Linked DNA regions of Mus musculus: region 2 is reported to be linked to region 1. Evidence: microRNA targets listed by miRTarBase, many of them from high-throughput screens and not tested one by one. Region 1 holds a microRNA gene; the other region holds the end of a gene's coding sequence.
Evidence for each region. Region 1 holds the annotated microRNA mmu-miR-493-3p (UGAAGGUCCUACUGUGUGCCAGG, at 2,467-2,489, shown strand). A microRNA usually pairs through its seed, bases 2 to 8, with sites in the 3' UTR of a target mRNA and lowers its output. Matches are read on the target gene's strand: a 7mer-m8 pairs with bases 2 to 8, a 7mer-A1 pairs with bases 2 to 7 and ends in A, and an 8mer does both.

Region 1 (4,273 bases):
TGGAATTTGATGTTAGCTTAGTTCAACCTGGCAGGTATTAATGCCTATTGTGTACAGGATCTGTATACAGATGATATTCTGGCGGGTGGCTAGGTAGTGAGGGGCTAGAAGGAAGTAGTCAGCAAGCCTGGGGGAGGGCTGGGCATGGAGGGGGCCGATGGGAGGGGGAGGGAGTTGGTATTTCAGATCACTGTCTATATACCTGCACTTTACAAAGCACTTTATTGCTTGCATGGTGTTGGATGATGGTGTGAAGTATGAGTGAAAGTGTGTGTGTGTGTGTGTGTGTGTGTGTGTGTGATCATAGACAGAGCTCCTGGGCTCTGAGAGGGCATGAAGGCCAAACTGAATATTCCCACGTGGCTCTAAAGGTAGCAGGATGCTTTCCCCAGATTCTCTGCTGATCCAAAACTTCAGATTAATGCCCCTAACCTCCTTTTACTTAGAATCGAGTGCCATCCCTCTAAAAGGCTGGGCCTTACAGCTCACACAGCCCTGTGCTCACATAGCTTATAAAAGTAGCTCTTCTAGAGACTTTTGCTATTTGGGAGCCTCAGATGGAGGCTATCCCCACCCCTTTACCCAGTTCTTGTGCAGCCACGGCAATAGGTAGTGCCTGGGCAATGGATAGTGCCTGATCGGCACTGCAGAAATAAGCCCCTGCGTTCACTGGTCCATGTGTTAGGTTAAGGTGGGCACTGGACCTCATTGTGCAGGAGCCTTAGTCCATGTGAGTTGTGAAAATGTGCGTGTGTTGTGTGTATTGTGTTGTGTATAGTGTGCTATGTGTTTTGTGTGTATGTGTGCTGTGGTGTGTGTGTGTGTATGTTGTGTGTTTGTGTGTGTTGTGTTGTGTTGTGTGGTTTGTGTAAGTATGAGTCCTGTGGTGGTTAACGATGAATGCCTGGAAGTAAGAAGAGGCTGAGTGGATCTCCCCCGAACTCCAGATGCCCTGGGTGCAGACTCTACACACACTTTTGCCCCAACCTTGCACCCAACCTCCTTGATTTGCCCCGTGTGGCTAGAGCCACCACAGGGTTAAGAGTTGGTGGTCACTCCCTGCCATCTTTGTGTCCCCACTCCCCAATTCCCTCTTCTTTCTGGCCATAAAGCTTAGACAGCCCCTCACCGCATCCATGAGTGGGGTACTTCCTCCCCCATCCATTGCCCCAAGCCCTCTCCATTGGGGTTTCTCTCCCCTAAGTGGAGTGGGGCAACCTGTCCACTCTCCAGCTCCTGCCCCCTTGCTTGGGGTTCTAATCAGCTCCCCAGACCCCACCTCACCACCCCACCCCACTCTCCAGTTTCTGGGTTAGCTGGCTGGGCAAGAATTGGTCTATGTCCTTCGACCAACCTCCCTAGCCACTCCCTGGGGTACCTGCCGCCCTCTGGTGCTGGCCTGGGTACGCCCAGACTGGATGAGCTTCCCAGATTGTAACGCTGCATGACAGCTTCAACAGAGACACCTGCACCCCTACCAGCAAGAGATGACATCATCCCATCCCCTGGGCTCCAGGTAAGTTCCCTGCACGTTTCCCTGAGATACCCATGGGCAATGGTTTTGTTTTCCTGATGACAATGAGCACCATGATTTGAACTGAAGGTCACTGATGGCATCGGAGTTTTTCTGAGAAAACTCATTGCTGGGTGATAAACCAGCGAGGATTGGCATAGGCAAACTCGGGTGTTGATGGAAAAGTTCTGACAAACCAGTCACAAATCTACTCGGACAATATGCTGAAGGCCACTTTATTGCTTGCCAACTTTCCAACTTGCCCTGGAAGTTTGGTGGCCCATTTAAAATTGGAAACAGTTAAAGAAAAGCAAATAAGATGCGTGATATCAGAGAGAAGGGTCAGCAGGTAGCGGTGTTATCTGTGCAAGCCTGAGGGACCCGAGTTCAATCCCCAGAACCTATCCTCTGACCGCTCCATTGTGTACCAACGCTCTCGCATACACAATGATAAGTGTAATTTTTAAGATGGATTTAGGGAGGAGAGATGGCTCTCTAGAATTGTCTGTAAACAGAATCTGTTTAAGGGGCCCTGTTCAGGGCATCTGCTTTTCCTACCTGGTAGGATGACCAGGCTCAGAAATTCTCCGAACACCATGCTGGGATAATGATCTGCCATGTTGGATGTTCAGGGTGGGGGATCAAGCTAGACATGTAATCCATAGTGATCTTCAGAGAGAGAGGTTTCTAGGCTCAGCCTTAGGGTCCTGGCTTTTTCCTCCTGTTCTGTTCTGAGAGGGGCGGGGGGTCTATCTCATGCATGTCTGTCACCATGGACTTCATCATCATGACTTTCATCACCTCTACCTGGCCTCTGTCATCTCCCTGGGCTCAGCATCTCACCTCTGGCCAGTCCATCACCTTCCTCACCTCCATCATCCTCGCTTCTGGGCTCACTCTGGCCGCCAGGGCCTTGTACATGGTAGGCTTTCATTCATTTTTTGCACATTCGGTGAAGGTCCTACTGTGTGCCAGGCCCTGTGCCAGGCATCGTGTAGATGGACGTTGCCCTTGAGAGCCCACACCTCGGGGAGATGCTTACAAACTGCTGGATGGGAAGGGAGCCTGTGTCAAGGCTGCTTGGGTGTGGATGCAGGGAGGAGGTGTAGGTGCAGCCCCTGCCCTACGATTTCCAAAATAATCTGTAAGGAGAGGCCTTAGGTGACCTCTTTGTTCCAAGTGGGTGGCTTGTCCCAGAAGTGGTACTAGGTACTCAGTCCACTAGCACTAATACCCTCCCAGAATGGCTCACTCCCAGATTCCTGCCCCCAGCAGCCTTGTTTCCCTATCATCTACACCCAGGTCTCTGGGTCAGCAAACCCAGGAGTCTGCTTTGTTGGAGATTGATCCCTGGCCTATTTTCTGTGCACTTTGGGGCTCTGGGTGGGGGGAGGGTGTGGGATCTCTCTGTCTGCTGTTATTAATCATTTTTTCTTGATCATATGCTGTTAAACTACTATGTTGGGAGTTCCTGGTTCTGAGAAACCTGTCAGTTTTCTTTGAGGGTGGGTAATGGGACTTAAAGGTTCCCTTAAGGTTTGACACGTACTTGACATTTGGGTACTGTGGTGGCCCTCAGGCCTATACCAGGGCTCTCAGGAATGTATTGTTGCAATGAATCTATTTATACATTTCAGGATGTTCAATTAAATGTGTGGTTTTTTTTTTTTTTTTTTTTTTTTTTAGATTTGGAACTGGAATGGGGTTGGCTATGTTAATGCCTTGGTGCCTACAGGGCTGAGGTAGAGGGACATCAATCTCTAGATGCTTAAGGAGGAGAGCCCAAACCCCACCAGTGATGTGACCCTACCGCCCCCTCCCCATGTCACAACCATGTGTCTCACCTCCTTACCTGAGTCACCTGAAGTTTCTGTCTACCTGAGATGCTTCCCCGCTCACAGATCCCCTTCAGTCCCTCCTTCTACCCATGTGTGATGTTCAGGCTCTCATTGTCACACTTAACCTCTGTCACCTCTGTGTTACACTAGGTCCGATATCTGGTCACAGATCACAGGCTTCCTCCTACCACAATGAATCCCTCTCTATCTACCCTTTCATCACACCGAATCCCTCTGTGACTCATGCCAAGCTGCCTCCACGTGTGAACTGAGCCTCCTGAGGTTCTCTCACTCTTGTCAGACCGCCCTCCTGGCTACTGTGTCTTCTTCCTTTACCTGAGACACAGTACGGGGTACTTGACCAAACCCCTCTTTCAGGTGTGTCCTATCCTGACCCCTTTTCCACTCTGTGTCTCATGAACTCCCCTCCAGTTATCATATGAACCCCCAACCTAAATTGAGTCTAATGTGTCCTGACTATCTCGTCTTCCAATGCCATAACAAAGTCCCCCTTTTATGTCCTACTAAGTACCCCTCCACCGAATTATTACTTGGGTCCTCTGCCCTCATTCCTGGGTCACATTGAACTATGCTTCTATTCTAGTATCACACAGAGCCATTTACTAACCTATAAATCTCTATCTAGTCATGTGTCACAATCTGTGACCCTACTGTATGTGACATGGACCCACCTCCTCTTTTGATATCACCTCGAACTCCTCCCCTACCCCTTTAGTCCCTGCCCCACCTCCATGTCACCCCAAGTTGCTCCACACTGGACTGTCACATAGACATCCTCCTGCATCCAGAAGTCACACAAAGCTCTCCCCACAGTGACCACACAAGTAGTTCAGTAAAAGCTGGTATCTTCTGTATCTTGTGTTGTTTCAGTGCTTCAGGCTGAGTCTACTAATGTCACACC
Region 2 (4,273 bases), not on the chromosome of region 1:
TGTGCGCCTGCGTGGACGTGTGCGCACCCCCCCACACCCATCTATATTCTGTGCATGATAGAAAACATGACTATTTAGCTTTCTGATTCTGAATCATTCCACTTACTGTGTTGAAAACCAACGTTGAGTTGATTTGAGACAGGTCTCAGTGCAGCGCAGCATCCCTGGTTGCTTGCAGCTCAGTAGCACTCTGGGTAACTGAGATACACTGTTTCCCTTTTATGTAGGACAGGGTTGAATGCTAAGCGCTTTGTTTTAACGCCTCCTCTTCCTTGCCCTCTCCTCCCCTCCCCTCTCTGCCTCTCTTCCTCATCCTAGCACTGAGGATGAAAATCAAAGAAGTGAAGAAGGAAAACGGTGACAAGAAGATTGTCCCCAAGAAGAAGAAACCCTTGAAGCTGGGGCCCATCAAGAAGAAGGAGCTGAAGCGGCTTGTGCTGTTCCTGAAGAACGGTGCCGACTGTCCCTGCCACCAGCTGGACAACCTCAGCCACAACTTTCTCATCATGGGCCGCAAGGTGAAGAGCCAGTACCTGCTGACAGCCATTCACAAGTGGGACAAGAAAAACAAGGAGTTCAAAAACTTCATGAAGAGAATGAAAAACCACGAGTGTCCCACCTTCCAGTCTGTTTTTAAGTGATACTGGGGCGGACTGGGGAAGGGGAGTGTGGCTTGGGGTGAGGGTGGGGGCGCGTGGATGACCCTGGCTCTTGGGGGCTCACATATTGCTCTCACCCATTACAGTTGTGGCTTTTGCATTGCACCTGGCTCTGTTCCTACAGCGAACCCTCTCCCTTCCCTCCATAGCCACATCCAGCTAAGGCCACGGCCCTTTAGATTAGGAAGGCTTTTTTTTTTTTAAGGGCTGCAGCAGGGCCAGCAGGCACGGTGCAAAAGGAGAGGCAGAATCCTTTCACTGAGCCTCGGGCACAAAAAACAGAAAATGTTGGCCGGTTTGGAAAAACAAAACAAAACGGATTGTAAAGAACTGCAGACGGACAGCTGCTCAGCTCAACGTTGTTCGGGACATCATTACCAATTGCTTGTGGAGTCTAAGCCTCTACAGGTAGAAGAGTCTGATCATTGCCAAGCCAGGCTGCTTTCAGTTTATTATTAATCCCCCTCTTTCTGCCTTAGATAGACCATCGCCACCTTCAAAACACACACACACACACACACACACACACACACACACACACACACACACACACACACTTCTGAAAGTAGCCAGGGTATCCCAGTATAGAACGGGATAGCTAAGGGTTTGGGTGGGAGGCCACTGCCTACTCTACCTTCAGCTTTTGAACTGGCCACCTTTGATAGGAAACTGTAGGTCTCAGATGGACACTTCTACCAGTCCATCGGGATACAAGGATGCCAGGCAAGGGTCTGCTTTTGTATGAAGGAGGTACGTGGGCATGAAGAGACATGAGGCATTTCAGGCTGAGAAGCCAACAGCTACTAGTTTTCAACAATAGAGTGGAAGAAATGAGCAAAGGTAGAAATGTCAAGCAGGTCACAAGTCAGGGTGATTGGGGGAATCCTGTGCCAACAGCCTCACTTTGTAATTCCATCTGTCACATTTCAAAAGAACAGCAGCATAAGACAGGGATAAAAGCCCACATACCCTCCAAGGCTTGAGTAAAAGTCCACACTCAGCATTTCAAAGACTAACGTCGTTGACTGCCCAAGGCTGCCCTCTTAATACACCGCCTATGCATGTGCTGTGGAAGGCAACTCTGTGCATGTGCTGTGGAGGAGATGGGCCTCATGGCTGTGCCTGGCTGCCCAGGAATCAGTATAGCTGTGGAAGGAGACAGTATCCATAGACTCTGCTTTTCTGCAAGGAAAGCCCTTTTCCTTATACATGATTGCCTATAATTCAGACAAATTTAAAATCGCTGCCTGCCTGAGCCCTCCACCTTTACTTTTGCATTCCTCCGGTCATATTCTTTTGAGGCTAAAGTGCCCTATCCGAGGAGATGGTTTCAAAGGCTAACTAATCTGCAGCTTTCCCAAGTGCCCAGAGGTATTTCTCAAAGTTGGTATGCTTAATAAGTGATGTAAATATTCCAGTTCTCTTAGGCAGCCTTACTCCTGTTGTCCCTGTAGTTCTGAAAAAAAAAAAAAGTTAATTTCTTCCACCAAAGTCTGATAATTCCCCACCGCATCCATGGGGCTACAGTGACTGTCCCTTTGGCATACTCAATCCAGAGGTAGGAATGATTTTGAAGAATCATCTAGTGGCCTTGGATTGACCCAGAAACAGGAAAACTCTGGTTACTTCTGAAAGACTCCAGCCTGAAAACTCACCATGCCAACTTAGTTACTGACCTGAGTGGGGTAGTGACCTAATTAACTTCATGTTTAGTAGTCCTATTATCTTAACCCTTTTAAGAATACTTCCAACCTTAATCACAATGTTATGAGGAACCTTAGGTGATTTGCCTATCATTGTGGATGATTTAAAAATATGTATGTGCATTAGTAATTAGAAATAGTCTAACCTCATTGTCCATAACTGAAATGCAAAGTCTCCTGAGTGTGTAGATCTGGGCCTTGAGCCACTACTAGTTCAGTGCTTGGTGAGGGGTCTGCTCATTTTGGGAAAGTGTATCATGTGGCAGGGCCCTCTCCGAGTGGCGGGAGACTGCCTACATGATTTTTTTTTTTCCCTGGGGATGTTAGCAGTTTCACAGCATAAAAGGGAGGACATGTTCTGGGGGGCTCCAGATTGGGAACCCTCAGGAAGTAACTTCCTCAGGAAGGATTCATAACCAATTGATCGATCAATTGATCATGTGAACTGCAGCAGCTGTCTGTCCCCTTACTTCAGAGTCCCCAGCTTCAGAGTTTTGTTGCGGACCTGTGAGGATTTCAGACACACACACACACACACACAGACCAGTTTTGTCTATACTACATCAGCAGTTCCAGACAAAAAGGGAGGCTATCTAGGGGCCCGAAAGCTGCATGATCAGCAGCCTTTGTCCTTTTCAACAAAAGGTGTAACAAACCAATGTGCAGACTCATTAGCTTTGTCCCTGGCTTCCAATGGAGGTGGTCCATGTGCGCTCTGACCAGCGTTGCCAATGAAAAGGTCAGATTTGGAAAGCTTTAAAATAGTCATTCCGGAGAGTCAGGGAAAGCTAAACCCACCAAACTTTTGGGAACTATCAATAGCTATCTTAGAAAATAGACTTGAGAGGCAAGAATTGTAAGAATATGTTTGCTTTTTAAAACATTCTGTATCCTCAGAGCTCATGGTTGGTGGGTTAGCACTAGGTCCTCCCTGGGGCTGAGTCTAAGCCCAGTTCCAGGCTTCCTAAGAATGTGTAAATTACAGAAATCACATTTCCCAAAGCTAGAACCTGTTTTATCTTGTTAGCCTCCCTGTAACCAGATGCTCTGTTGGACCTTCATAGCCGGACGTGGTTCAAGATGTGCTCCAGAAGCAGACCCGGGGTCACATCTCCAGGATGGCATGTTGGCTGCTCTGACCTGGCGCTGTGGGTCCTAAGCGCAGAGACGGAATTCCTGTTGGCCCTGGTTCCCCCCTCCTCGCACCCCCTGAGGACTCCACTTTATAGCCTAAGCCTTTTATACAAAAGCTTTGAATACTGTGAAGATGTTTTACATTCCTTCTCATTCCTGTTGTTTCTTAACTACATTTGACCAGATGTTTTGATGTTATCACGTATGTTAATAGTGATTCCCAGGTGTGTTTTGTTTTCATGCTTTCCCTGCCAATGTATTCACTTCACTAAAATCACTCGATCAATAACAGCGTGAGTTGTGATTGACCCAACCCCTGTCATCCACTCCCCACTCCCCGATGCCCTCCCACTCGGCATGCTCCCTTGAGTTGCTTCAGTGGTGTTTTCTGGTCCTAGCTGGGTGGGATGGGGTGGAAGAGACCTGAGAAGGAGCACGGGCATTCCCTGCCCTCCTTCCCCACTAACCATCTCCGTATAAGCCTGGTGTCTGTCTGTCTGTCTGTGTGGGTTTCAGTTCTGCCAAACATTTCTGCTCCATGTTTCAGATGCCCCCACCCGACAGGTCCATTTTAGAGTTCACGTTCAAATTACCAGCGAGAACTTAAGAAATGGCTTATGTTTGGTGCTGTGGTCCCATTTGGGACTTTGAAGAATAAAATATGACATGGCAGGGACTGCCAAGAAGACTTTGGGTCACTGGCGCAGCTAGATTTAGAACCCACAGTCCCAGCATCCTGGCCGTATGGGCTGAGCTCTCTGCTGAACCCACCTTTGT

Region 2: miRTarBase lists Sfrp1 as a target of mmu-miR-493-3p. Seed matches in the 3' UTR shown: 7mer-A1 at 1,152-1,158, 7mer-A1 at 1,292-1,298 and 8mer at 3,416-3,423.

The regions. Positions count from the first base shown.
Region 1 is chr12:109,577,817-109,582,089 of GRCm38, forward strand. Mir493 (microRNA 493) reads left to right here and starts at 2,417; the gene lies at 2,417-2,499. It also overlaps a transcript of Rtl1 not described here.
Region 2 is chr8:23,445,848-23,450,120 of GRCm38, forward strand. It overlaps Sfrp1 (secreted frizzled-related protein 1), which reads left to right. Exons shown (of 3, transcript NM_013834.3): 3 at 319-3,785. The coding sequence ends at 641. Among named protein-coding and RNA genes, the nearest start is that of Sfrp1, 36 kb to the left of the region's middle.